Linked DNA regions of Caenorhabditis elegans. The protein of the gene in region 1 purifies or fractionates together with the protein of each later gene. This does not show direct contact. Each region holds a gene or a part of one and is shown on either strand. Other genes may lie near its edges. The genes, in order: ttc-4, impt-1 and Y54H5A.2.

The links.
Region 2: the proteins of ttc-4 (region 1) and impt-1 fractionate together in Caenorhabditis elegans (co-fractionation; one large-scale study listed by BioGRID). This does not show direct contact.
Region 3: the proteins of ttc-4 (region 1) and Y54H5A.2 fractionate together in Caenorhabditis elegans (co-fractionation; one large-scale study listed by BioGRID). This does not show direct contact.

Annotation. Positions count from the first base shown.
Region 1 is NC_003280.10:5,591,452-5,600,324, reverse strand, and holds ttc-4 (Cns1/TTC4 wheel domain-containing protein), read right to left. Parts: upstream 5,612-8,873; 5' UTR 5,590-5,611; coding exon 5,482-5,589; intron 5,429-5,481; coding exon 5,300-5,428; intron 5,253-5,299; coding exon 5,129-5,252; intron 5,075-5,128; coding exon 4,817-5,074; intron 4,762-4,816; coding exon 4,505-4,761; intron 4,452-4,504; coding exon 4,143-4,451; intron 4,062-4,142; coding exon 3,987-4,061; 3' UTR 3,849-3,986; downstream 1-3,848. Other genes in the region: C17G10.6 (ShKT domain-containing protein), read left to right, coding at 1-131, 175-395; spig-18 (DUF4440 domain-containing protein), read left to right, coding at 951-1,031, 1,092-1,209, 1,576-1,631, 1,678-1,872; C17G10.1 (uS12 prolyl 3-hydroxylase), read right to left, coding at 2,006-2,158, 2,209-2,601, 2,650-2,975, 3,028-3,124, 3,172-3,298, 3,358-3,553, 3,604-3,754; Tyrosine-protein phosphatase cdc-14, read left to right, coding at 6,952-7,008, 7,066-7,260, 7,310-7,417, 7,488-8,750, 8,840-8,873.
Region 2 is NC_003279.8:10,965,825-10,977,110, forward strand, and holds impt-1 (Protein IMPACT homolog), read right to left. Parts: upstream 4,354-11,286; 5' UTR 4,343-4,353; coding exon 4,191-4,342; intron 3,097-4,190; coding exon 2,949-3,096; intron 2,903-2,948; coding exon of another isoform or gene 2,897-2,902; coding exon 2,735-2,896; intron 2,517-2,734; coding exon 2,322-2,516; intron 783-2,321; coding exon 666-782; 3' UTR 501-665; downstream 1-500. Other genes in the region: spe-38 (uncharacterized protein), read right to left, coding at 75-158, 209-265, 409-489; Y52B11A.3 (Cytochrome-b5 reductase), read left to right, coding at 4,674-4,814, 6,335-6,427, 7,326-7,503, 8,784-8,995, 10,388-10,760. UniProt on the Caenorhabditis elegans protein: Translational regulator that ensures constant high levels of translation under amino acid starvation.
Region 3 is NC_003281.10:5,144,251-5,154,129, reverse strand, and holds the start of Y54H5A.2 (Protein HGH1 homolog), read left to right. Parts: upstream 1-4,551; coding exon 4,552-4,610; intron 4,611-4,655; coding exon 4,656-4,914; intron 4,915-5,421; coding exon 5,422-5,536; intron 5,537-7,791; coding exon 7,792-7,905; intron 7,906-7,980; coding exon 7,981-8,115; intron 8,116-9,136; exon of another isoform or gene 9,137-9,157; intron 9,158-9,879. Other genes in the region: grwd-1 (Glutamate-rich WD repeat-containing protein 1), read right to left, coding at 116-273, 322-415, 462-584; rbm-42 (RNA-binding protein 42), read left to right, coding at 1,003-1,031, 1,082-1,385, 1,514-2,089.

The DNA.
Region 1 (8,873 bases):
AAAAGGAAAGAAGAAGAGCAAAAAAGGAAAGAAAGGAAGAAAAAATCATTTGAGTTTAGACTTCCTTACGTCGAAAGAGAAAATCGATCAGGGTAAGAGAAATCGAGGGCAGATTCTTGATGAATTACATGGTAAATTACCAAGAACTAAATATTCAAAACTTATTAATTCCAGCTGGTCAAGATTTGAAGAAACTTCAAAAGTCTTCCAAATCAGGAGAATCAGGTGTTGATTGTGCAACTGCAGTCGACGAGTTCCCCATGAAATGTGGTGCTTGGAAATCTGCAGGATTCTGTGATACAAATCAAGCAACACAATTTTTATGGTGTCGTAAAACCTGTCTCTGCTCATCGACAATCAGCACAACAACGAGTTCGTCAAATACCGAAGAATAGCTGAAACTGCCATATAATGATTTTTTCTTTCCGACCTCTATATAATAAATAAGTTTACAATCGTTGCTAATTGGTTTCCAAAATTATCAAAACCCGTTCGTTCGCCTTTATCTGCATGAACCAGAAGACGTATCAACTGGCCTGGGAGTTGGATCTAATTTCTTCATCACGGGTAGAAAACTATACACTTGCCGACTAGCATTTAAGTGAAGCAGCCGACTTATTGCGAGTTCCGCGTATTGCTATCTTCTCTGTGTCGGTATGCTCCTCCCCCACGAGGAGAACTTTGATGAATATAGAAAGTTTGGAAAGCATTTCTGTGGAAACTTGAAGAATTTCAAGCGCATTCCAAAAATAATTTTTTTGAAAAATATCTCCCATAACGTTTCATTCTAAAAACTTTTTTATTGTATGATGTTTTAGTAGCCTCAAACCCATAAAATAAACACGTTTTGAAAAAACCTGAAAAAAAAAACCAATATATACTTAAGAATAATGGCACAAAATGATATAAAAGTGTGGTACTAGTAGAACTAGAGTTCATTAAAAATTGAAATGCAGTATATTTATTACTCAATCATTATTTTGTTAACTTTTGACATTTCTACAGTAATCTCAGCGAAATTGATAAAAATCGTGAGTTTCTCTAATTCTTTAAAAAATGTTTCATATCATTGAAAACCAGAAACTTTGAAGGAACCAATTGATTATAATGTGGAAATAGATAAAACATTGGAAGGAATCGAAAGTTCAGTTCGAAATCAAAGTATTTCCGATTTTTCCACGTATTTTTCTGAAAGCTTTGACGCCAACGGTGGGTTATCGAATTGCAGAGATTTTTGCATCAATAGTACGGTATAAGGTCTCGTCACGAAATTTTTTTTGTGAATTGCAAAAAGGTATGCACCTTTAAAAGAGTACTGTAATTTCCAACAGAATTTTCCAATAATTTTTCATAGATTTTCTCTCGCTTTCTCAAAACTTGGTGTGATTTTTATATTGTTTTCTTGTTTTTTAAAATCAGTATTTCAAAAATAATAACGTTTCATCGAAAATTGTGAAAAATCAATTGAAATTATGCAGGTTGGAATTTACAGTAACCCTTAAAGGAACATACCATATTGAAAGTAACTAAAATTGGCAAAATTTCGCATCTGTATTAAACAACTTGAAATTGAAGAGTGGTATCGTAAATTCATGGGAAAATTGACTCCAGAACAGGCGTGTACTTATTCGGTAATTTCCAACTTTCCAATATTTTTTCAATGTCCAAATTTTCCAGCTCTCTCGATTTGTTGATGTAAAAGATGGCAAACTAGTCCAATTCACTGAATCAGTCACCTTGAGTGATTCTGTGACACGTCGAACCCCATTCAATGCAGTTCTTACTGAAATCCAATTGGAGACTGAGAAGAGACTTGTGATCGACTCTCTAACTGTGCACGATGGTCAGCCAGCCGATGAAGAAGAACATTGAAATCTCACGAAATCTTTCATGATGTTTCAACAAAATAAACAATAATGATGACAATCAAAATTAACAAAACCGAAAAATAGAACAAGATTAACGCATAAAATAACAGAACAAAAAATGAATAGAATAGTAGTTTTTAGTCTTCGACAACTTGAACATTGTAGAATGATACTGTGAAAAGGAAGAACGGATCAGATGATTTGCAATTGGCGTATTTCATAAACGATATCACACCAGGCTCACGGAACACTATTGATGCGGCGTTTGGTGATGGGGAAATTCGTAGGAGCTGGAATTTATTTTATTTTTCAAATTAAAAAAACGAAACTTTCAAATTACCTCTTCCGTATCACCTTCTTCGATGTAAATCAGGTCACCACCAGCTTCATCATCCCAATTGGTTTTCTGTACGAATAGGTGAACATCCAGACAGTATCCATCAGTTGAACTTTGTTCAGCATCTTCATCTCCCAGAACCCAATATGTTCCATGCTCCACACGACTAACTTTAACACTTGTTTGAGCTCCGGTTACTGTAACTCCAGTCAGTTTGGCTGCCAGTTTTGCAAAATTTTTGGACTTCAGACATTGAATTATTCTTTTAGTATTCTGCAGATCCGCAGATTTTTCTTCATCAAGACGTGCAACGTGGCGTTTGCTAACCGGGCCAACAGTTTCAAAGCAAGATGGGTTGGAAATTAATTCAGAATATGCATTATCATGAATTTCTTCCTAGAATTAAAACAAAATATATTCACGATATGAAAATAAATAACTTACGAATATAAATTTACTCAAATTAAGTTCAGAACTGTCAGCAAATGTTTGTTGCACTTCATCTTGCCTTTCTTTTTGTAAATATTCTTTGCTGATGAGTTTCGACAATTTACACGCCGCCTCTGGTACAAATCGTTGAATAGCTTCTACTGCTGGCTTTTTTGGTTCGATCCGTCGAGTTGAGTGGAACCATCCGTTGATCGATAAACGAGGTTCTTCGGAAAGCATTTCGGCAACTCGGTGCCAAGATTTTTCAGACACTTCGAATAGCATAAAGGAATTACGTAATGGTGAGAATTGAGCAGCCACAGAAGTTGGTTGTAGTTTTTCTGAAATAAAAATCATGTGAATGTGAATTTTATAATTAAACGTTTAACGTACTGTCGTGATTAAAAAGCTGCAAATCTCCACCATTCACTTCCGAATCCCAGTCAGCTGATGTGATGTAATAGACAAATGCGAATCGACGAGTTTCAATCTACAATTTAAAAAATGCAATCAAAAAATTATTAAATAAAAACATACGAGATCATTATGTGGTAATAGTGAGTCTGTTCTTGCGTAACAGCTTCCATTACAGTCAACTTGCTCAGTCAGCTCCACTCCTGATACGTTTTGGAGCCATTCTTTGACTTCCTTGTATAAGAATTGTCTGGAATTAACTTATTATTAATAAAGCAAATAGAAGAATCAAGAAAATATATTTCTTACCGAAAAGAAAATACAGCTGGATTTTCAACTGGATTAATTGATTTCAGATCATCAGATTGATACAAAGAGTACAGATCATTCTCTTTTCTTTTCCAACCTTCAAAGTTTTGTAGCTCGTCTTCGATCTTTTCTACCACGTTGTCGCTGTTATCCACAAAGTTTCGGAGTTGCCAATGAGGAAATGGGCCATTTGATTCTATAAAAATTGCAATATATCGCTTTTAAACTTTTTATTAATTGACTTACTCTCAAATCCTTTCTTAAATTCCGTTTTGAACTTGTCTTCAAGATATTTCGGACTGATATGAATAGGTTCCAGGACAACACTTCTTCTTTTCTTTAGCTTTGGTGATTTCGATTTGTCACTGGCTCCTCCAGCTTTCGATTTACGTTTCATAGCTGAATTATCTGAAATTAATACCTAATTTAATTGTGAAATGACAAATTCTTCCAGATAAAAACCATCGGTTATTAACCATAAGTTTTTAAAAATGGGTAAAGGAATTTTGTAATTATTAATAATTTTTTTTGCACAAAAAAAAAAGACACAACAAGTCAGGAAGTAAATAACACAACAAAACAACGGGATGAAGTAAAATAACAGAATTTGTAATCAAATGACAACAATTTTATTTAGCAACGTATCGATTCTCATCCTCAGCCAATGCTTCTAGGGAACTTGCGGCTTTTTCTTTGGTCATAATCTGAAAAATTGTCGAATTATTTTATTTTAACAATTTTGGAAATGATAAACCCATAATTCAGCGTTTTGTGGAAAAACTCACCATAATTACAGGAAGCCCCTGTTTTATTTGATATCCTGGCATGCTAAGCACCGATTTGAAATCATTCCATTCGTACACTTCCATCAAATATTCATCATATTCATCCGATACGAAGAACCGAACATTCTCAAAATTGAATTTGTGCTCCGGATCCCACTGAGCTGGTGAATTTAACACTTCTTTTAACAATTCTCCGACGGTTGTTAATTCATTTGTCTCGGTAAGAACATCAGTTTGACCAGCTTCGGGATATTGTAGAAGGATCGGCCATACAAGATTTAGATCATCATCGAATTTGACACATTCATGCTGAAATGTAGAAAATTAGAGAAACTCAAAGTTTCAGAATAAATTAAACTTACTGAATGCATCAACGGAAGGGATACGGTAAGTCTCGCCATATCCATGAGTTCGGGACGATCAAACGGAACGCGGGGACATAAATTCAAATTCCGTTCCTTGAGTGCATCTAATAGTTGTTTCTTCGATTCTGTCTCTTTTCTTTCTTCGGCTCTTGATTTTCTTTTATCTCTTTCTTCTTTCAATGACAGTTCAACTGATTTTACTCGAAGTGTTTCCAATTGATCTATGAATTTTTTCTCATCATCAGTAAGATCCGCTGTAAAATAAAATTGTGAAAATTTAACTTTTTTTTAAATCAAAATTGAACATACGAGTGTCAGAAGTTTCTTTCGTGAATGCGAAAATCTTTTTGCTGCTTTCAATCCAATTCAGCGCGTCTTTTGCATATTCCAATTCCAGAAGACATTCGGCTCCTCGAATTACACCTTTCAGATGAGTTGGATCAAACTTCCGTCCCATCGAGCAGTCTTTAATTGCAGATCGAAGATTACCGAGATGTTTTTGAGCTGCGGCTCGGTTGAAATAGAGCACAGCGTTCAATTTCCTATCAGGTGAATTTTCTTTGATGCCTGTAAATTTCTAACTTTAGTATAAAATTTTCTGGATTTCTTATTCAGAGATACCATTAGAATAGCAATCAGTCGCCCATCTATACTTCTTAAATTTGAAATGTTTGTTTCCTTCCTCTTTGTGATGTTCTGCATTCATTTGCTTATCCTCGTCGTCTTCTTTATCGTATTTCATAGACTGAATATTTGTACGTATTAATTCGATATTATTATCCATTTACTTGCCTGTAAAGCTTCAATAGTGTCCTGATATTTTCCATCCGTGGGCATTTCTGTCATGAATGCAGGATGTTGATCAATCTCTTTGCACCAGTCATCGAAATCAAACGGTTTTCGTTCTTCTTTCTTATCAGACTGAAAATGTAAGATTTAATGTCACGATTGCAGAGATTTAAATATGAAATTACTTTTCTCGCAGCCATTTCTTCCATGAACTGATCTAGGTCGTCATCAAGTTTCTTCGCAAGGGCTGCTCGCTCTGACTCAGTGAATTTCTTCTTCTGGGGAAGATCCATTGGTGAATATTGATGATTCATTCTGAAAATTAACGTTTAAAATAAATATAAAACAAAGAGTAACCGAAAAGAATGCAGTTAAAACTTTATTTTCAGAAATTTTAGGAAATAAAAAAGAATGAGACGACACCAGTTTTAGGAATGCGATCTTGTGGAAAGCGGGTGTATGAACAAAAAACAACGCAAAAGAGTATATTTTTTTAGTTGTAAAATCTTTCAAGTTTAGCTTTTTGGCTTCAAAAAAAGTTTATTAATTGATCAATTACCCTAATCATAGTAAACAATTGTTTTTTTAAAGAAACATTGTTCTCAGGTTTTGCATTCTTCTAAAGTGAGTGGTCTCGACACACGCGCAAGTGCGCTCCGCTGAGAAAAATTACATTCAAAATTTATTTTTGTGTTTTTTTATTCATTTTTATTTTTCAACAATCTTTTCTTTTTCTCCTATTGTAAGACATTTTGCATAAAATATTATTTCAATATTTTTATAATTTAATGGAAATCTCCAATAAAAGAAGCCTTCTCTGCCATCAGCGGCAACAAAATTTCTCAAAATCTAGTTTTAAATATGAATAAATTTATAATTTAAATAGTAGATGCTAGAAACGTAATGAATTTCAGAAGAAAAAAATTTTAAATCTGTATGTTTTAAAATCTTATCAAATCCCAAATTTTGAATCATATTTTATAAGTATAAAATATAATTATAACTCTTAGTTGCATTTTTGAAACTGCCCAAAATATATATATAGTTCTCAAATTAATCCAATTTCTTATATCTTCATTGAATTCAACAAAATCGATTTCTTCTCCTTTTTAATAAAATTCAATTCTTCTTTTCTTTGTTAGTAACTTGTTCATTTTCTTTGTATAATAACCAATGCAATACTGCCCTACTGCAAACAAATTCAAACACAAGACAGTCAATGTGACTGAACAATTGGCACGCTGCCAAACCCCGCCAAAGTCTCTGCGTCACCTTCATTTCCCTACTGTTTCCTATTCTTTCTCAGGGCCAAGTGCATCATCATTCTGTGTGGGAGAGATCGGGAAGGGACACTCTCTGCGACTCGTGTTTATTTCTTCTCCCAGCAGCCCAACCCAATTGCATGTCACATTTTTCACATCATTACTCGACATCTTATCACCTAATCGATAAATTCTTAGAACTCTCCTTTTATTTTCGTACAGTACCCGAATTCCTCTATTTCTTATTTACCTCTATTCTCTTGCTTTCCGAGCAGCTGAGCCAACTTTCGTTTGTATTTATCTAGCCACACAGCACGAACACAATCGTTTTTTTATTGCAGGCGCTACGGAATGTGCTAGTAGAGGCAGAACCATATAATAGTAATAAAAAAAATGAGAGAAGACCACTCCCCACGTCGTAACAATACAATTGAAAATACTTTGACAGAAGTGAGTTGTTCATTTTAAAATGTTTGAAAATCTGAAAATAATATATTTTAATTTCAGTTGCTACCCAATCGACTTTATTTCGGTTGCTTTCCCAATCCTGATGCTATCGACAAATCAGATAAATCAGTAAAGAAAACTTGCTTCATCAATATCAACAACAAGTTTCATTACGAACCTTTTTACGAGGATTTTGGTCCATGGAATCTTTCAGTTCTCTATCGATTATGTGTCCAAGTAGGCAAACTGCTAGAGGTGAGCTCATTCCAAGATTGATGATAGATTAGATAACACACTCGTTTAGGTCGAAGAAAAGCGAAGCCGACGAGTGGTGCTTTTTTGTCAGGATGATGGGACAGGGCAATATGACAAAATACGAGTAAATACTGCCTATGTACTCGGAGCATATCTGGTAAGTTAATGACAGAAATGTATATTTTCTAAAAATTCTTGATCTCTAAAATAATGAAAATGTATTTCAGATAATCTATCAAGGATTCTCTGCCGACGATGCATATTTGAAAGTGTCTTCCGGAGAAACTGTAAAATTTGTTGGATTCCGTGATGCCTCTATGGGATCACCTCAATATCTTCTCCATTTGCATGATGTTTTGCGAGGAATCGAAAAAGCATTGAAATTTGGATGGCTCGACTTCTCAGACTTTGACTATGAGGAATATGAGTTTTATGAGCGCGTTGAGAATGGAGATTTCAATTGGATTATCCCAGGAAAAATTCTAAGTTTCTGCGGGCCTCATAATGAAAGCCGCGAGGAGAACGGGTATCCGTATCATGCTCCAGATGTTTATTTCGACTACTTCCGTGAGAACAAAGTTTCAACAATTGTTCGGTTGAATGCAAAAAACTATGATGCTTCGAAGTTCACAAAAGCCGGATTTGATCATGTTGACTTATTCTTCATAGATGGAAGTACACCTTCTGATGAAATCATGCTGAAATTTATAAAAGTTGTTGATAATACAAAAGGAGGAGTCGCTGTTCACTGCAAAGCAGGTCTCGGGAGAACTGGGACTTTGATCGCTTGTTGGATGATGAAAGAGTATGGATTGACTGCTGGAGAGTGTATGGGTTGGCTACGTGTATGTCGACCTGGCTCAGTTATCGGACCACAACAACCTTATCTCATTGAGAAACAAAAGTTCTGTTGGTCACTGTCCCAATCAAATGGTGTTCATCTTACTCAAAACAAAGAAGAAAAAAGAAATGTACGACGTCTTGTTAATCAAGTGGATGATATAAATTTAGGAGAAGAAAGGATATCTCCGAAAAGTCGAGAAAACACTCGTCCAAATATCCTTCGAAGGCGTGTGCAAGTTCAAAATGGAAGGTCAACTGCTCCAGTAACAATAGCCCCTGCTGGAACATCCGAATCTAGAAGATCCACTAAACCATCTCGTGTCGTCGATGAGACTGCTCTAGACGATCAAGGAAGATCACAAGGCGACCGACTTCTACAATTGAAAGCCAAGCATCAACACGAATCAGAGACAACAAGTCCCAACAGTTCCTCGAGTCGGAGATTTGTCAAAAGTTCAACACCACAAATGACTGTTCCGAGCCAAGCATATTTGAATCGAAATCGTGAACCAATTATTGTCACACCGTCAAAAAATGGAACATCATCTGGAACGAGTAGCCGTCAGTTAAAAACAACACCAAATGGAAATGTTGCTTATCGAACTAGAAATTCATCAGGAAATACCACGTCAACTCTTACTAGAACTGTAAGTTATAAACAAACTTGGTATATTAAAAATGAGCTCTCATTCAACGCCAGAAAGTTTTAGTTTAGCCATAAACAAAACAGTTTCAGGGAAACGAGAGCTACAGATTCCACAACTCGTTGT
Region 2 (11,286 bases), on another chromosome or scaffold:
TTAAGAAAAAAAATTTCCTAAAATTTAAGTCAAAAATTTCAGATTTTCTCAAATTTTCCGCCAAATATACTCACACAAATCGCCAAAACTGCGGAAATTGAAGTAACCAGTGAAATTCCGTGAAAAATCGCCCAAAATTGGTCAAAAGTGTCGTGGAACTGCAGGAAAATTGGGGATTTTGAGGGGAACTTTCAGGAGAAAAACTTACGAAAATGAGGAAAAGCTCTAAGCCAAATGAGAATAGAGTTAGGGTAAAGTCAAGGATCTGGAAAATATTTGAAATTCAAAAAAAAAAGTGAAAAAAACGTTTTGAAATTTTTGAAAAAAAAAAAAATTTTCCCAAAATTTTCAAAAAATTTTTTAATTCCAAAATTCCAAAAATTATCCCAGAACACTTCCAAAAATTACCATAAAAATGGCAAAAGCCAAAACGACATGAGAACAGCAGAATACAGTGTAGTTTGCATCGTTCGGTGAGCCCAACTCCATCAGAAAACGCATATTTGATTGAAAAACTATTTATTAGTATAAAGTGACCAATGTTTTGAAAAATAAATGAAAATGATTACAATTTGAAAGAGTTGTTGGATTAATAATATTAAAAGCACACGTAGGGAGTTTAAAATTGAAGAAAAAAAAATTATCACGTTAAAAAATATAGAATTTTAAGACTTCTTCGGTCCATAATTATTATCACTTAAAATTTGCCGAGTTAAATTATTAATATGTCGAAAACGATCGGGTCCAAGATGAATTCCACCGTACCAACGTGAAACGACGACCTGAAAGAAGAAATTGGTTGAGGCTCAGAGACTACAAACTACAAAATTGGAAAATTTTCAGTTTTTTAAGCATTAAGATTTTTAATATGCAAAAATCAATCTTTTTTCTTACAAAAACATTTTTTCTAATGAATTTGAACAATCTTGCTATTTTCGACTACAAGTGGTGTCAGGCTGTCTCATTGCGGTTTGATCTACGAAAAATGCGGGGATATTTTTCCAGAAAAATTGTGACGTCAGCACGCTCTTAACCATACGAAATGAGATGAGATGTCTGCGTCTCTTCTCCCGCATTTTTCGAAGATCAAAACGAAATGGGACTTTCTGACTCCACGTGCGACTACAAACTACAAAAATATATTCTGGAAAAAGGCTCAGGACCACTACAAACTATAGTTTCTTGACTACAAACTACAAACCAAAAAAAAACAAATTTTTTTTGAGAAATTTTGGAATTTCGGTGAGGTTCAGATACTACAAACTACAAAAAGCTGAATTTTATCGGTTTTTGAGTATTTTTTGAACTAGAATTTGAATTTTTTTAAAAACCCATAAAAAAATTCGGATTTCACAATTTTTGATTTAAAAAATTTGTAGAAAATTCTATTTTTACAGGAAAAAACCGTTAAAATAACTATGGAAATTTGGGTGAGGCTCAGAGACTACAAACTACAAACCCCGGCTCAGCCTCACCAAAAATGGAATTTCAGGGTGTGTTTGAAACTAAAATTCGAATTTTTTCGAGTTTCAAATTGAAAATAATTACGAAACTCAGAAAAATTAATAAATTTTACTTTTTTGCGAAAAAAAAACTAGTAGAAAATCCTATTTTACCGCTAAAATCCGTTGAAAAGCTACGAAAAATGGGTGAGGCTGAGAGACTACAAACTACAAAATGCTCCGAGCCTCACTCAAAACTTGATTTTAGGGTGTTTTTCAAAATAAAATTCGAATTTTTTGAGTTACACATTGAAAATGTTCACGAAACGCAAAAAATAACGAATTTCACTATATTTTTACAGAAAAAATCTGTTAAAAAACTAAAAAAAAATGGTGAGGCTAAGAGACTACAAACTACAAAAAGCTGAATTTTATCGGTTTTTGAGTGTTTTTTGAACTAAAATTCGAATTTTTTTAAAAAGAAACCCAAAAAAATAACAAGATTTCTCAATATTTTTGGAAAAACCAGTGGAAAAGTTTATTTTTACAGGAAAAAACCGTTAAAATAACTATGGAAATTTGGGTGAGGCTCAGAGACTACAAACTACAAACCCCGGCTCAGCCTCACCAAAAACGGAATTTCAGGGTGTGTTTGAAACTAAAATTCGAATTTTTTCGAGTTTCAAATTGAAAATGTTCAAGAAACGCAAAAAAATTAACGAATTTCACTTTTTTACAAAAAAACTAATAGAAAATTCAAAAATTGGGTGAGACTCAGAGACTACAAACTACAAAACCCCCTGAGCCTCACTCAAAACCCGAAATTCATCGTTTTTGCTCAATTTTCAGCGGATTTTCTCGCGGAAAAAAAGCTATTACCATCACATTATCCGCTTTCATTCGATCCATGAGCTCTAACATTTTCGAACTTGCTCCAAATTCCCCATCATCCACACAATCATGATGATGAATTGGTTTTCCATTGATTTCAGTCATATATCGATATGCTGTAATATTATGTGTTGCCCGGCAGATTTTTGTATTCGATTTAAGGATTCGCATCACTCGATCCACCTGGAAAAAATGGAAATTATGACTACAAACTACAAAAAAAATTGTGAAATTTCAGAATTTTAAAAGTAAAATTTCCATTTTCACAGCTTTTTTTTAAATATCAAATTCAAATTTTTTAATTTATAAGCCTTTATAGGCTAAGGCTAAGACTTCCACGTGGAAAACTTTCTTGGTTGAGGCTATAGAATATTGTAGTTTGTAGTGTGGTTGAGGCTTACATCTTCCTTACTCCGAACCTCGGCCAAATGAGCCTGAAATGCACTTTTCCGGTCTGTAAGCACTTCTCCGTGTCGAATATTCATATCATCGATTTCCTCGGCCATCGGTGTCACCACGTCATCGGCCACATGGCTGGGCTCCGCTACTTCTTCGGGAAGATCCTAAAACTATTTTAAACTTCTTTTTTTTCGCGTGTTTTCGGTAAAAACCTACCCGAATAAAGTCTTGAACAAGGGATATCCAATTGAAAATCACTGGAAATCCGATATTTTCGATATAAACGTCATTTAGACTGTTGTGAAGCACCTCTTTCTGCTCCCGACGGAGATATGGACCACTTAGTTCGAAAATTGGCGGAGATCTGGAAAAAATTGGTGAAATACGAGAAAAAACGTGTTTTTTGCATGTTTTTTTTTGAAGAAAAACGAAGAAAAAGTACGAATTTTAAGTTTGGTTGAGGCTCAGCGACTACAAACTACAAAACGCTCTGAGCCTCACCCAAAACTGAATTTTATCGTTTTTACTCAACTTTCACCGGATTTTTTATAGTTGCGGTTCATTTTGTTTAAAAATTGGTGAAATATGGAGAAAAAACTATGTTTTTACGCTTTTTTCGAACAAAAACGAAGTAAATTGACGATTTTTTATTTTGGTTGAGGCTCACGGACTACAAACTACTAAGCGCTCTCAACCAATGTGATTTTTTGCGATTTTTTAATCTTAATTTCAAGAATTTTGCATGAAAAAATTAGGAAATCTGTTATTCTCAATATTTTAACCGAATAAAATGGTAAAATTCAGTTTTTAGAGCAAAAATTGGTAAATTTCCAGTTGGTTGAGGTTCAGTGACTACAAACTACAAAACGCTCTGAGCCTCACCCAAAACTGAATTTCATCGTTTTTGCTCAATTTTTACCGTTGCTGTTCATTTAATTCAAAATTGGTGAAATATGGAGAGAAAACTAGGTTTTTACGCTTTTTTCTAACAAAAACGAAGTAAATTGACGATTTTTTATTTTGGTTGAGGCTCACCGACTACAAACTACAAAACGCTCTGCCTCACCCAAAACTGAATTTCATCGTTTTTTATCAATTTTCACCGGATTTTTTATTGTTGCCGTTCATTATGTTCAAAAATTGATAAAATATAAAGAGAAAACTATGTTTTTTTCTAACAAAAACGAAGTAAATTGACGATTTTTATTTTGGTTGAGGCTCACGGACTACAAACTACAAAACGCTCTGAGCCTCAATCAATGTGATTTTTGCAATTTTTGGTTTAAAAAATTGATTTTTTTACTTTCTTTGTGTATTTTTTTGAGTTTAATTTCCATTTTTCGGCAATAAATCGATAGCAGATTTTTAAAAAAAATTTTCAATAAAAATTCCAATTTTAGACCAGATTCCGCGTAAACCAACATATTTTTTCAAATTTAAAATATTTTAAACACTTACATCGAAGGATAATCCTCTGGCAGATTAATTGTCATTCCAATATCCCTATCGAATTTAAAAACCAGCTGTTTATCAGTTGTTTCTTCTAATAAATCCGGAAAAATCGATGCCAATGACTCAATTTCTGCTATTCTTTGCTCCTCGTCGCTCATTTTGTCTGAAAAATTCGATTTTTCGTATTTTTTAATTGAAAAATATCGAAACAATAACAGAAAACAGTTAAAAATGAATAAATTTCCATGTGATCGAGTTATGCGCCAGCAATTTTGTTGGCGCACTTCTCGCGCATGCTGGCGCGTTTTCGGATTTAAGCGATTTCCAGATGTTTTTTGATTGACTTTTTGCATTTTTAATAAAAAAAACTAACTTAAAATTATTTTATTGATTCTAAAAATCAATAAATTTTCAATTAAACCCAATTTTTCTCAATTTTCGCCTGCAAACTCATCGAAAAATATTTTAAAACTGGAATTTTCAGATCTCATGAACAATTTATCGGTTAATGGATCAAGTAATGGACTTTTTGCGAAACCAACAATAGGAAGAAGTGAATATGGACGGGTCAAAGTGGCGTTGGCACCCGGAAAAGGGTTTATGGATTGGTTGAGGCTCACGACAAATAAGGTTTGTGGGGAGAAATTTAAATTTTCGATTTTTTAAACGTTTTAAGTGCATGAGAAAGTCTAGAAAAAGCTTAAAACTCACGCAAAAATTCCTGAAAATCTGAAAAACCTCAATTTTTCGCTAGGTGAGGCTCAGAGACTACAAACTACACAAATTTCTGAGCCTCACTGAAAAAAACTTTAATTTTTTCGAAAAAACGGCCGAAAATTGAATAAAAACTGTTTTTTTTCGTGCATTTCTTCAATAAAAACAGATTGAAAGATTAAAATTTCTCAAAAAAACTCAAATTTAACATTAAAATTTGCTTTGAAATAGACTACAAACTACAAAAATTGCTCAGCCTCAACCAAAAATTGAAACATTGCGTTTCAGATCAAATACTGGAATTTTATAGTAAAACCAGATTTAAAAAAATCTATATGTATATGATTTTCAGCACCGATTTTAAGAAATTTCTAGTTTTTTTCACTAAAAATCCGATAAAAATTCTTGGTTGAGGCTCAGAGACTACAAACTACACAAATTTATGAGCCTCACCCAAAAACAACATTTTAATTTAAAAAATGACCGAAAATCGAATAAAAACTGTTGTTTTTTCTTGCATTTTTCAATAAAGTCAATTTAAAAAGTCAAATTTTCACAAAAAATCCCAATTTTCATATTTTTAATTTATTTTTAAACAGGCTACAAACTACAAAAATTGAGTTTTGTGTTTTTTGCTGGAGTTTCACAATGAAATAAGAAAAAAAGTATAAAATATCACCAAATTTACTGAAATTCCAGCAATTTCCACTAAAAACCGCTCAACTTTAATAAAAATTACATTAAAATAGTTGGTTGAGGCTAAGAGACTACAAACTACACAAAATTCGACGCCTCAACTAAAAGTAAAAACGCTTAACTTTTTTTGAAAAAAAAATGGCGGAAAATCAAATAAAAACTGTTGTTTTTTCTTGCATTTTTGCAATAAAGTCAAAATTTCTCAAAAAATCCCAATTTTCACATTAAAATTTATTGTTCAACAGGCTACAAACTACAAAAACTGGCTTAGCCTCAACCAAAAATTAAATATTGCGTTTTAAGCTAGAATTTTACATTGAAACCAGAAAAAATGTTTAAAATAGGACCGATTTCACTAAATTTTCACAAAAAACGGCTCAAATTCGATAAAAATTGCATCGAAATTGTTGATTGAGGCTAAGAGACTACAAACTACACAAAATTCTCCGCCTCAACCAACATTCCAAGGCAAATTAATCAATTTCCAATTGAAAAATTGCACTTTTTTCGCATTTTTTTTGCCGTCGGAGGCTCACACACAGCATCTCACATGTCTGCGTCTCTTTCTCTTCCGATACCACAGCTTCTTCGTCATTTTCCGATGGAAAAACCTTTTTCTTTTCATTATTTTTAAGTCTAATCACTAGAAAATGTGCTCAAAATTCGTGAAATTTTATCGAAAAGTAAGATTTTTGTGTAGTTTGTAGCCTGAATTCTACCAAAAACATGAAAATTTTCAGCATTTGGCGAAACGAGTCAGTGGAGGTGTGGATCACGTGGAATTGATGAAGCATAACACGAAAGACGACTGTTGGGTACACCTTTTTGGAATTGTAAGACGGTTTTTCCAACTTTCGAGGAAAAAACTTACAAAACTGCGAAATTAGTTGAAAAAATCGAAAAAAAAAATCCAAAAATTAATCTCTAACCTGTTTTCACGATCGATCGGATTAAACTTTACACTAAAAATTAAAAAAATGTCCGATCTTTGAGGAAAAAAACTGAAAAATTGAAATTTTTATATTCATAAAACTAAAATTTCACTTTAGAAAAAACTGAAAAATTTTCGATTTTTTTGGGGAAAAAAAACGAAAAAATCGTGATTTTTAAAAGTGAAAATTAAAAAATAAAAAAAAAAAACTTTAAAAAATGACTTGGTTGAGGCTGAGGAACTACAAACTACAAAACCCGGTTCAACCTCACTATAAACTGAATTTAAAGATTGAATCAAATTGAAAATAATCTAGAAAGCCAAAAAATTAACGATTTTCATCCTATTTTTACAACAAAAATCCGTTAAAAAGCTAATAAAATTGGGTGACGGCTCGGAGACTACAAACTACAAAATGCTCTCAACCTCACCAAAATCTGAAATTCATTGCTTTTGATCAATTTTCAACCGATTTTTTGCTGGTGAACGGGCTTTTAAATCGTGATTTTTAACAGTGAAAATTGCAATATTAAAAAAAAAACTAAAACTTTGCGATTATTTGAAAAAATGACTTGGTTGAGGCTCACAGACTACAAACTACAAAGTTGTTTGAGCCTCACCAAACTTTTATGAGTGAGGCTGTAAAAATTGTAGTTTGTAGTCAGTTTTCTTCGGAAAATGTGATTTTTGACAACAAAATAACATTTAAAATTAAAAAAAATCGAAAAAATCCAAAACATTTTCAAAAATAGATTTGAAAAATGTAGTTTGTAGTCCCGCAAAAAAAAAATATTTTTCAGGTGTATGACGTCACCAAGTACCTGGATTTCCATCCGGGCGGTATACCCGAATTGCTACGTGGCGCTGGCCGAGACGCCACGCCCCTTTTCAATCAATACCACGCGTGGGTGAATTATGAGAGTATGCTGAAAGCATGTGTAGTTGGACCATTTATCGGAGATTTGACAAAATGTGAGGGTTTGTAGTTTTTGTAGTCTTTGTAGTTTTTGTAGTCTTTGTAATCTCCGCCAATCTTTGGACTACAAACTACAAAAATGTTTATGTTGGAGTCATTATTTATTTCGACTCTCATTAGAATTTCGAAAATTCAGTAGTTTTAATATAAACAAGTATAGGCAAAGACTACAAACTACACACAATTTAGAACATTTTGTAGTTTGTAGTTTTTGTAGTCTGACTAGTAGTACCAACATATTTTAAAATCAAATTTCTCAGCTTGTAGTTTGTAGTCATTGTATTTAATTAGATGCTCTAATATTAAAAAAATTTTTTGTAGTTTTTGTAGCCTATAGACAAAGACTACAAACTACAAACAACACATACTTAAAAATTTGTTTTGTTTGTAGTTTGTAGTTACTGTATTTTTTTTTTCTGTAACTTTTTTTAAAAAAAGTTTTGCCCAATTTTTGTAATCAAAACGTTGACAATAACTGTAAACTTCCCAAAAATTGTATAGTTTATAATTTGTAGTTTTTGTAGTCTTTGTAGTCTCCAACAAACGTTGGACTACAAACTACAATGTTGGTAACATTATTTATTTCGACTCTCATTAGAATTTAAAAAAATCAGTAGTTTTTGTAGTTTTAGTATGAAAAAGTGTAGACTACAAACTACACATAATTTAGAATATTTTGTAGTTTGTAGTTTTTAAAGTCTGACTAGTAGTACCAACATACTTTAAAATCAAAATTCCCAGCTTGTAGTTTGTAGTCTAAATTTTTGTAGTTTTTGTAGTCTTTAGACAAAGACTACAAACTACACAACTTTGAAAAAAAAACATTTTTGTAGTTTGTAGTCACTGAATTTTTATTCGATTCAATTTGAAATTTTCACCTAATTTTTAGCAGCTTTGAAACTTTGACAATAACTACAAACTACACACAAAAATTGTGCAGTTTGTAGTTTTTGTAGTCTTTGTAGTCTCCGCCAATCTTTGGACTACAAACTACAAAAATGTGGATGCTGGATTTTTGTAGTTTTTCGAATTTCATTAGAATTTTAAATATTCAGTAGTTTGTAGTTTGTAGTCTAAATTTTCAAAATTTTTGTAGTTTGTAGTCACTATATTTGGACCGATTCAATTTGAAATTTTCTATAACTTTTTTCAAGTTTCGCCGAATTTTTAGCATCATCAAAAGTTTAACAATATATACAAACTACACACAAAATTGTATAGTTTGTAGTTTTGTAGTTTTTGTAGTCTGTGAGCCTCACTACCACCAATAATATTTTTCCAGTACCTTCACCACTTCCACCAACAACTTCGGATGACAAGAACAAGCTCGGTGTTCCCAGCTCAGCACTTTTCAGTACAGATCCATCTGAAAATGGATATGGAGCTCGTGTCGAGACCCTTTCTGACAATTCTGGAATTTCATTTGAGCATGATGATTGGACAGAGCTCACCGAGCACAATGTTATTGTTTCATTAGTGCCTGTTTTTGTTAAGGTACATAGAGACTACAAACTACAGAAAATTTTAGAAATTTTTTTTTTTCGGAGGGAAATTCAATTTTCCTGAGAAAAGTTAATTTTGGCCGAGAATTTAAAAAAATGAGAAAAGTTAATTTTGACGGGAAATTCAATTAAAAAAAAAAAAGTTTGCAGGGCAATTTAAATTTTTTAGAAAAAATTTTTGGCGCTAGTTTCAAATTTTCTGGAAAATATTTTGGTGGGAAATAAACATTTTTTGTAAAAAAAATTTTTGGCGGTAAATTCAAATTTTCTGAAAAAAAAATTTTTTTTGACGAGACATTCAAATTATTTGAAAAAAAATTTTTTTGCGGTAATTTCAAAATTTTTAGAAATTTTTTTTCCCGAAAATTCAAATTTTTTGAAAAAAAAAACAGTTTGGCGGGAAATTCAAGTTTTCTGAAAAAATTAATTTTGCTGGAAATTTATATTTAAAAAAAAATTATTTTTGCGGAAATTCAAATTTTCTGCGAAAAATTTTTTGCAGGGAAATTCAAATTTAAAAATTATTTTTGGCGTTAAATTCAAAATTTTATGAAAAAAAAACATTTTTGGCGGGAAATTTAAATTTTCAGCAAAAAATCAATTTTTGGCGGGAAATTAAATTTAAAAAAAAACGTTTTTGGCGGGGGAATTCAATTTTTTTTAGGAAAAAGTTAATTTTCACGGGAAATGCAAATATTTTGAAAAAAAATTCTGCCGGAAAATTCGAATTTTCTGAACAATAATAATTTTTTGGTAGAAAATTCAAATTTTCTCTGAAAATATTTTTGGCGGGCAATTCAAATTTTCTGATAAAAAAATAAATTTTCGGCGGAAAATTCAAAATTTCCGGAAAAAAATGTTATGGCAGGAAATTCAAAAATTTCTGAAAAAAAATTTTGAAGACAATTTCAAATTTTATCAAAAACACCATTTTTGACGCTAAATTCGATTTTTTTGACAAAAAAAAACTGCGAAAAATTTTTTGCAGGGAAATTTAAATTTATTGGAAAAAAAGAAAAAAAGTTTGGCGGGAAATTCAAAATAAAATTTTCAAAACTATTATCAAATTTTTTTTTATCATTTGCTCTCATTTTTACTCAAAAAACCCACTTAATTTCCACTTAAAACCCCAAAAAAAAAGTAGTTTGTAGTGTCCTCCCAGCCTACATACTACACAAAATTTGATTTTTTTTTAAAATACAGTTCAGCTGGAAATTCAAATTTTCTATGCAAAATTGAAGAATTTTAACCAAAAAAAAAAACCATTTTTTGTAGTTTTTTGTCAAAAAAGCTAACTCTCCACTTAAAAGCCGAAAAAAAAACAAATTTTGTAGTTTGTAGTATCCCATCCTCCTCACCCAACAACATCCTAATAATTCCCCAGACATCAATAAATACACGTGGCGAGGAGAATACCGAAGAGCACGCTCGTCTCCGAGTACTAATTCATCATTTCTGGAAACCAGCGATGGAATTTGAATTCGAGCCAACTCCAGCACTTTGCCACGTCGAATATACCCTGAAAATTATGAAAAATCGCGTGGAAATTCGATTTTCCCGTGAAATTTCCGGAGGAAAAATTGATAGATCAAAGTGTAAAATTCAACGACGGCCAGGAGTCACATATCACACGACGGAAATTATTGATCGATATCGATTAAATCATGATACATTGATTTTTAGTCTACAGCTCCCCGAGCACACTACATATCGAATACCTATTGGACATCATGTTTCGATTAAAATTCGGAAAGGAAGTATGGGGAAATTTTCGTGGAAATTTTTTTTGATTTTTGGGTGTAAAAATTTGTAAAAATTTGTAAAAACCCATAGAAATATATATTAAAAAACGGGAAATTTTTGAGATTTTTTGTTGAAAAACGTCTTTCGGAATACAAAATAGTGTAAAAAATGCGATAATCTAGATTTTGACCCAATTTTAGCTCAAAAATTCTGAAAAAAATGAGAAAAAATTTCTGTGAAAAACGGGTTTTTAACTGCATTTTTTTGTTTCAAATCGTGATTTTTTTTTTTGGAAAAATGTCAAAAAAATCGATTTTCAACTTTTTTCTGTTGAAAAATCTGAAAAATACGGTGAAAAATTTTTTAATTCCGGCAAATTGTTGGTTTGCCGATTCGCCGAAATGTTCAGTTCCGGAAATTTGCCGCTTTGCCGGAAATTTTCAATTCCGGCAAATTGCCGGTTTGCCGATTTGATGGAATTTTTCAGTACCGGCAATTTACCGATTTGCCGGAATTTTTCAATTCCGGCAATTTGCCGAC
Region 3 (9,879 bases), on another chromosome or scaffold:
AGATATCCTTGTTTTTTTTAGTTTAACAATTGTGTTACTGAGCTTAAAACTAAACGTTGGCCGGAATTTCAATTTCATAACAGGTAAATAATAAAAAAGTTTGAAACCGACTAACCCTCATCGTTGTAAGATTCTTCAATCCCATCACAATGATTTCGTTATCCCTTGGCTTATCGGCTTGAGTTCCACTGACAATATAACATTCGGCAGGGAATTGTGTTCTGTTCTCGCCCAAACCATCTTTAACAACGTCAAACGACAAGCATGGCCAATCTAAATCATAAAATATAAATATTTTAGAAACAATTTCGTTTGAATCACCAGAATTGAAACTATGAAATAGTTTGTAAGCACTAGGGTCAAAATCCAATTCTTCTCCTTTTTTCAATGGCCGGCTGAGGCCTGGAATGTAAGCCTGCAATTTTAACAATTAGAAGTATTGTACGAAATTTCTAGCTCACTTGTCTCTGATTCTCCGGTACTTCCTCGTCTTCATCATCAGTTTCATCAACTTCCTCTTCAGACTCGTCTATATCCTCCACTGGATCCTCATCATGCATTTCAACGTCATTTTCACCGGACATTTTCTGCAGATACAGAATATATCTCTTAAGAAATGTTAGAAAAAGCGGATGAGGTAATATTTGGAACTTCAGAGGGTGTTTTCTTAAATTTTAAAACAATTATGAGCACAAAACTACTAGTAAAGCGTGAAAATTGGGAGGATAAAAAAAATAAATAGGAAAACAGAAAAAATTTTAGAGTACGCAAAAGTGCGTCGTCTCTGGCTTATTTCATGCGGTGTTTGCGTACTCTTAATATTTTTATCAATTTTTTAATGTTTTTCGAAACAAAAGCTATTTTCCTTTTATTTGTATTCATTTATGTGTTAAAGATAATAATATTAAATATTAATATTTTTTGATTTATCTGTCGCAAAGTTTCTGTACTTTCTGACTATATTTAGACTTATTTTCAGCCTGAAACGCTCACCCTTCAACAATGGCCAACTTGGATGATGAACTGGCTTTGTAAGTTGATTCTTCCTATATTTATTATCAAACAAATTATATTATTTTAGATTTGAAAGCGAGTTAGCCGAACTTGAACAAGCGAGTAGCAATTCGGAGGAGCCAGCAAGCTCTCAAACGCATGTTGGCTACGATAATGCAACAATTTCGGCAGGACCAACTACTTCCGAGTCATCAGCAGCTACTTCTAGTGCTCAAGTTATTCAACCATCACTTTTGGCAGCGCCTCCGTTTATTCCGATAGCTGCCACAATTGCAGTTTCTCCATTTATCAACCCGGCACTTGGGAGGCTTCCAACAATGCCTCCAGTTCCACCTTCAATTTTCATGCCTCCACAATTAAGAGCTGCACCGGTTAGTTTTGATTTTCCGTTGACTTAAAAAATATCCTTATTTTATGAATAAAGCCATAAATTTTTGAGAGAAAAGTTAAAAATTGAAGTTATGTGAATATTACTCTCAATTGAATATTAAATTTACAGATAATGTTCCCTCCTCGAGTACTCGGAATTCCGGCTCCTGCAACTATTGAAGGTGCTCCAGCATTATATGAAACACCTGCAGTAAACGCAATTCCACAAGAACTTCTGCGAACTCAAGCTCTTCAATCAGATATTGATAAGATGAATTTCAAAAAGCAAACCGATCCATTTAAGAAGAAAATCAAGGAACAACAAGCGAAAAAGAAGTTTGTGAGATCCGGTGGTGGTCAGGTTTGGGAAGATCCATCTCTTGCCGAATGGGATGAAAATGATTTTCGAGTTTTCTGTGGAGATCTGGGAAATGAAGTGTCGGATGAACTTCTTGCAAAGGCTTTTCGAAAATACCCAAGTTTCCAAAAAGCCAAAGTTGTCAGAGAATCACGAACAAATAAGAGTAAAGGATATGGATTCGTTTCATTCAGAGATTCGGAGGATTATGTGAGAGCTATGCGTGAAATGGACGGAAAATATGTTGGAAATCGACCGATTAAATTGAGAAAATCGGCATGGAAGGAGCGTAATATTGATGTTATCAAGCAAAAGAGAAAGCAAAAGAAAGAACTTGGAATTTTGTAAATCGATTCGTTTTTCTACATTTTTTTCTGTAATTTATTCATTTATACCCCAATACTTTCATTGTACCCCTTATTTTCCTGTCATCGTATTTTTATTCATTTTTCTTTTCAATATATAAAAGTCTGAATTGAGATATTTATCGTTATTTGAGTATCAGGAGCACTGTTGCATGTCCAGTGCAAAATATACCTCTACTGTCATTTTAGAACATTACATTTTTGAGTTTTTTCTTTTCAATTCATATTTAAGAAAGGCTGAAATCTTTTGAAAACTTCAAATTTTGAGGGAACAATACCGTATCCGGTCTCGACACGATACATTTTTGTTAAATTCGAAATGCTGTGCGCCTTTAAAGAGTACTGTAATTAAAAAATTTCGTTGTAGTTCAATTTCTAACGATTCTTTGAAGTTGTTTGATAAAAATATATCTACTAATCAAAAACTTCAGTAAAGCATAAATTTTAACAATAACTAACAAAAAATTCTTGTCGAGACGGAGTACTGTATATTTAGCGCACAAAACGAGAATTTTCGTGTCTGTGTTTCAAAAATGTTCTTCCTGAAATTTAAATGATTTTGGCTGGAAGTTAAGATAGGTAGACATTATATCTAGTATAGGATTTGTCAATTAGATACTTTCAACTAATTTTGTTACAAAAATGAAAAATACTTTCGACCCCTTCATTGGCTAGAACTTTCTATATAAGTATAGTTAGTAGGTGTCTTCATTTAATTCCTGTTTGTATAAATGTAGTACAAGTGGGTGGCTGTGTTGACGAGTATATCAATTGCGTAACGGATACCGACTACTTCACAAAGAGTGCCGATGTCGAAAGTTTGAGCAAGAGATTACGAAGGTGACGGGTCGAGACAGGGTCACACGGTGTCCTTCCGATTGACGGTTGCGCAATTCAACGCATCTTCTGAAGATGAAGATGTTGTTTGGTGACGGCAACAGGTCAATCTGTGCATCCGGATCAGAAGATTTGAAAAAAAGCGGCTTTTTGTACTGAAAGTGTGCTGTCAGTCTGTTGTTTACGATAAATGAGCGAGAACTCTGAATTTACTTGGAATTGGAATTCTAGACTCGTATTCGGATACAATTGTCAAAAAGTCAGATCCTATTCGATAATTCTACACGACCAATTAAAAAGCAATTTAAAATCATAATCTGTGCGATTAACTCATATTTTTCATTCAAACTGAAAATGGTTCCGCTTCGCAACCAAATGCTTCTTTTGATGTTATTACATGAACACATGTTTGATGATATCATGTTGTTTTCTGTTGTGCAATAACAGTCATATCCTTCAAGAGCATGTTGAAAATCATTCGATGCGAAGAATCTCTAGATCTAGATAATAATCCCCTTTAGCTTTTACTAATAAGTAATCCTTTTCCCTATTCTCTTCCGTCAAATTTATAAGCAATTCCTCACCATTTTGTTCACACCTGATACCTCGTTTATTATCAAGTGTAATGCGGTATAAAACACCCATGGTATGGATTGTGTCAGGAAAATGGAAACATCTAATATTTTATGACACGAAGAGGTCTTGGATTAGGAACAGCCGTGTGGACGAAGTGTGGCATGGGGTTTGAAATGTATGGGTTTTCACTGTGAAGCTCCCCTATTGTTTAAACTTATCAAATTTAGATAATTAATATAAAATGAAACTTGATATTTATTCCATCAAGTTTTCAGTTTTATTTGATCAACATTGAAATTTGGGGAGATAAACATCCAAATAGCATTAATCGGTCTTAGCAACCAGATATTCAACTCTGATTATGCAACTTTGTCCACATTATCCGGTGGTCCATTGCTTGTAGATGACGTAACTCTGGACCGTTTGTTTTCCAAAGTAGTGTTGCATCAACAATCACCATGCATATCCCATTGGATTACGGTAGTCAGGAACCCTTTTCTAGTTTTTTTCAATCTGGAGTGTCCGTTCTTTTGTGCACATCAAGTGTGAGATGTACACGAGCCGCAACGTCCGAAAAGCACACTTCAACCTGACTTTTTGTCCCCAATTTCTCACTCTCAACCGCAAAAGACTTACAGTAACCCGCCACCTTACACATTCGCGCACTTTTGAAGTGGCCGACTGTGAGGATTGGCGCTGAAGCTGCAAGATTCGAGATGTTTGTCGGTGAGAAGGACGCGTACCCGGGTGGGCGAATGAGGTATACTGTAAAATAGAATTGAAGTGATTGTTAACTAGACTATGGGTGTGACAAGTTGATTTTGACGTCAAAATTTGTTGCAGTCTAGCAGGGAATTTGAAGTTTAGAGAATTGAGTTCATACTAGAGATAGAAAACTCAAGGGGTTCTAGAAATAAATCAGGCGTTGTGTGAAAAATGTATTTAAAAAGTGATAATCGGAAGAAATATAACATAAATTTAAAAACGAATTGAAATGAAATCCTGAATTTAAAAATAATTATTTATTTCTAGATGACTGACCTGGAAGTAAGCGTCGATGATTTGGTGAAGCTCCTCTCACCGACTATGTCGTAAGAACTGAGGTTATTATTCTTAATTGAAAATTCCAATTCCAGATTAATTGTTCGTCGTAAAACAATGGAAGTTGTCACTCAACTGGGTACACCGCTCGATGGATCTGCTGGAAAATACTTCCAAGCTCAAGATTTTGCTCTGGGAAAAGCGATTTGTCAGTTATGTGAAGCAACTTCTTCGGATCGAACTGAAACTCTGGCAGCTCTCACAAACTTCACTTCTGGTTCCATTGAAGCCGCTGATTTTGTATTGGATAAATCAAAATGTGTGGAAATTGCTTATACTGCAGTTGTTACTAATGTAAGGGAATTTTAAAGTAATATTCAACGCTTTCATAATATTACATAGACGCGTAATTTTGCGTTTTTTGCGCCAAAAATACGGTACCCGGTCTCGCCACGACTTTTCAAAATGCAGAATATGTGCGCCTCAAAAAACTGTAATTTCAAACTTTCGTTTGCTGCGAAAATTTATTCACAAACTTGTTAATATCAGTGTTTAAATATTTTTTTTTTTAAAACAAATTTTTATTCAAAAACGAAGAAAATTCCGCAGAAACGAGATTTTGAAGTAGTGTTTAAAGGTGCGCATCCGTTTGAATTTAAGAAAAAAAATGTCGCTTCGAGACCGGGTACCGTATTTTCTGCGCAAAAATTGTGAAATTTCGTTTCTGGTTAATATAAATACAATAAGAATATAGAGAAAGACTAATATTTTGGATAAAAAGAACGAGTGGTAACCTTATACCATAAGTAGTAGTTGTGTCAAGTACTCGTAATCCCCCGACTTTAAGTGTTTTTCTTTCAGGCCTTGTATTCGTCAGTTGCCTCTCGTCTGCTTGTCAATGTTTCCCGCCATTTCCCAGATCGTGTTGATCATAAGTTGAAAGCACGAAATGCGAATTATATTGGACAACTGCTCAGTGAGTTTCTTTTGGTGAATTCAAAATATACTTCAAAAATTGAATTAAAAATGTTTTTTGAGTTTCAAAAATTCTTTCTCAAAATTTTTAATTACCTACTCTTGAAAAAGTGACTTTTAGAACACCATTTGGTCCTGATGCGAGTGAAATATTCCAGCTACCGTAGCCGAGAGTATGGTAGATAATTTTACACTAATTAATGAAAAATATTGAAAATATTCTAAAAAGTTTTTTAATTTTCCAGACGTGAGATTATGTGATTTTTGTACCAAAAAAACGATGACTGGTCTCAACACGACAAGTTAAAGAGTACTGTAGTTGCCGCGGAATATTCATAGATTTTTAAAACAATAATTTGAAATTAATTACAGTACCCCGTAAAACCGCACATCATTTTTCATTTAGCGAAAACTTGTCGTGTAGAGACCATATACCGTATTTTTAACTTTCAAATCACACAAATAGCTCGAGGTTACTATAGTCGAATAGTTTCTTTCGTGCCAGGACCCAAAAACTGAAAACTTTTTCACATTCCTCTTCATAGATCTCATAGGAAAATAAATTCAACGAGAATCTAATCGAGAAACTACGGTTCGTGTGGTAAAAACAAATCCTCATTCAATTCTCGAAACTACAGTAACCACATAATCTAAATGTTGTTTTTTTTCGGTAGTATTGTCCTTGAGTTACATATTACCCAATATCCTCTACACACGCTTATTAGCTTGTGTTTCATGTCATCCATCTTTTGATTGATTCTTCTTTTTCCTAAATAACCTTGCTCGTCCCTCTTCTTGTCCTTCCTCTTTCTTTCAATGTTCGGTGACAGCTCACTTTTTCAAATAATTGACGGAGGTGATCAAATGTGGCGAATTGTACACCTTCTGCATCGACTTATTTCAGCCTTATAAAATTGATGAAAAAAGACACGTTGATAATAGTATTACAGTGGGGTGGTTGAAAGGAAGATGCCGACAAAACTAAGGGGATTACCAGCGCCTAGTTTATCGTATTAGTGTGTTTGGTCCTATTTGTTGGTTATCAGTTAGCAGAGGCAGCGAGCACGTAATGAAATACACAAATATGCTAGATTCTATTGTGTTATGAAGTTAAAAAGGAGTACGGTAGGTATGAAGATTATTGACTGAAACGGTAAATTCAATCATAGTCTGTAACTTGAAAATACTAGAAATTAAATGCAAAAACGAAATTAAAATTCAAAAGATGGTACCGCGATTTCGCTGAACTGAATAATCGTTTTCGTTAAACTTTTTTAAAATTTGAAATAGTATTTTAACTTGATTTCTTCTTTTTCATAGTGTTAGTGTGCCCTTTTGAACAAAATTTCGTAACTATGAAAGGGGATTTTTCGTTTTCAGTGTACAGTATTCCGTGCTAAGATTCTAATCTGCCCAAATCATTCGGCGCAGCTATCATCAAACTTTCTGTCCTATAGCATTCCATGAAATGTTACCTGCTTCTGTATTCTCGCCAATTAGTGTCGCTTCATCAAGCGTCAAACACAACACATTGGTCAACACACACATATCACCTCCGTTATCAGTCCTCACACCGTACGTCGTTAAATTTTAATGGCTCCAAGTACAAACAGCCCCAGTCAGTCCCCCCACACTGACACCTTTCACTTCATAAATCTCAAGCTGATAATGATTATGTAACTGGCGCGAGGTCAATCTACTTGAGTTATGTAACAGAACAGCATGGAGCCAACACAAACTTTGCTCTTTCCGTTAGTCTTCACGCCCATCCTACAGTAATCCAGTGTTGACACTTTCTTGGGTTTTTCGACGGCGGCAATTGTCTTTTGATTAACACGGAATTGGAATACCAATCATTCTGTGAAGGCGATAAGTCGTCACACTCTTTTCGCTGCTGTATCAGAAGTTTGTACGCGTGACAAATTCGCGACATTTTCTCGGGGAAATGTGTTTGAATATTGGAATAAATACGGTGTTTGATATATTAATAGGTTCTACGATACGAGGAAATGATAGTTGGTGTTGGGAGAAAAGAGGAATATGATATAGGGTTTTGTAGGTACAGTAGTCTTACAAAAGGAATATTTCGAACTTGGAAATAAAGTGGAACTAGAAACTAAAATATTATTATACTCACTATTCAGAAAACTTTAATACTAAAATTTTAAGTGTCCAATATTGGGTTTCGAACACATTTTCAAATATTTAATTAAAAATGTCATTTATATAAAGCTTTAACTGATACATTTTTTTCAGATGAGATCAAGAAGTCTGTAGAGACTGGCGATGAGGATCGTGCGAAATTCGTCGGATTCACCGTTGTCAATCTGTCAGTATTGCCTCCAATCCGGCAAAATATTGTTCAAGGAGGTATGCACACTCCTCCACTTATACATTAAAAATTGAAATGTGTGTCTCCTGGTAATAAACTTTTTTTCTTATCAGGTGAGAATGAATCGTCGCCTCCGTCGACGACAATGAAATTGCTACCAATTGTTTGCGAGTTGCTGACAACCGCCGAAACGACTGAAATTCGAGAGTGTGCAGCCGACGTGCTCAGGAATTTGGCGTTTGATGATAGTAGGTTTCTAGATTTTCAGACCAAACAAATTGTTGAAAAATTGAACCTTTGTGTCGTTATCTATAGATCAAAAACTTTTGTGCAAAAAGCAAGGATACTGTAGCTTTTTCGGTGATTCGCGGATTTCTGTTTGTTTATCAACCTCCTTCGAATGTTTTCTTTTTCAATCTGACAATGAGCTCGAACTTTTTATTAGGAAATTTCAAATGTTAGTTGCATTAAACCTTAGTTTTTTCATTTGTACCTCCAGATCATACCTGTGCGGCATTTGGTTTCGGCATTTGAACAAAATGCACTTTTTCATAAATATGAAAATACGTATATGTATGAAATAGCATACGATGAGAAGCCCGACTCTTAGGCTTGTCACCAGTCAAAAAAATTTCAAAAAAAGTTTACCCCTGCTCGAGATATGCACCCAAATGCCGTATGGCGAATGCCGTATGCCGTATTCGGCATACGGCATTTGGGTGCATATCTCGAGCAGGGGTAAACTTTTTTTGAAATTTTTTTGACTGGTGACAAGCCTAAGAGTCAGGCTTCTCATCGTATGCTATTTCATACATATCCGTATTTTCATATTTATGAAAAAGTGCATTTTGTTCAAATGCCGAAACCAAATGCCGCACAGGTATGCTCCAGATCCCTAACTTAAGTTCTTCAGTGTGACAATTCGAATTCCCTCATCCTTATTCATTTCGCCGCCTCGTTTTTTTTCTTTCCCATTTCATTCAGTCTATTCAATTTGAGAGTCATAAAACAATGAGAGGGGTATCCTCTGATAGTTAAGACACCATAACATCAGGAGGCAAGGCTGACGAATTCTAACAACAACGCCGTCGTCTTCGTCGCCATATAAGTCGGGCGGATACGGCTATTTCGACACGAATAGAGACACAAGGAGTCGGTAATAAAGTGTCAATGAATGGAGTGGCAAAAAGCCGTAAAACCATCCACGACGATGACACCCCGCAACGAATTCTTCATTTGGACACACGACATTTCAACTATTCTTTTATCTTCTTCTGATGATGCCGTCTATCTGTTATAGTATGTAGATGTGGCTTCGAGATAAAAATGAAACCGTAATTCACATGGATTTTGGAACTTGAAAACCAAAAATGAAATATAATCCAATTTTCAAGAAGAAATGTAGAAAATCGCTCATTAGAGAAAAAGTTTGGAAATACAGAGTTGAGCCAATTTTGACCATTCGTCATTGAGCCAGAATCTTAACATTCCTAAGCAGGATACTACGTGAACTAACTACAGATAGTTGTCCAATTGGCGATAATTTCACCCCCAAGGTTTGCTTTGGAAAGGTCATCTCACCTGAATCACAAGTTCTAGTTGTGCTTGTACTGTGAGTATTTAGCAATAATTATTACTGCTCGGGTTCTGTGTTTACCTTCACACCTGCATTTTAAACTATTACATCGTTCAATGATGTCTCATAGTAGATCATTTGACGTGTCATTAAACGTTGACGCAACCTTCTCTGTATTTGCCAAAAAGGTGGCAGTAAAATGATCTAGAATTTAATAGGCTTTAACTCGCACCTACTTGTTTCTCTAATTGTGTTGCATCACGTGGTCATGTGACCGGATGCCACAATTTCGACGAAAATACAATTTTCGCGTCAAACGGTCAACGCCTTTTCTTCTGCCAATTTCGCGTCCCTCTCTGTAATTCGATTACGGTATCGGTTCTCTTCCTTCTCATCACTTTTTTGTACTCACGCGTGCGGACCGTTCTGCTTTTTG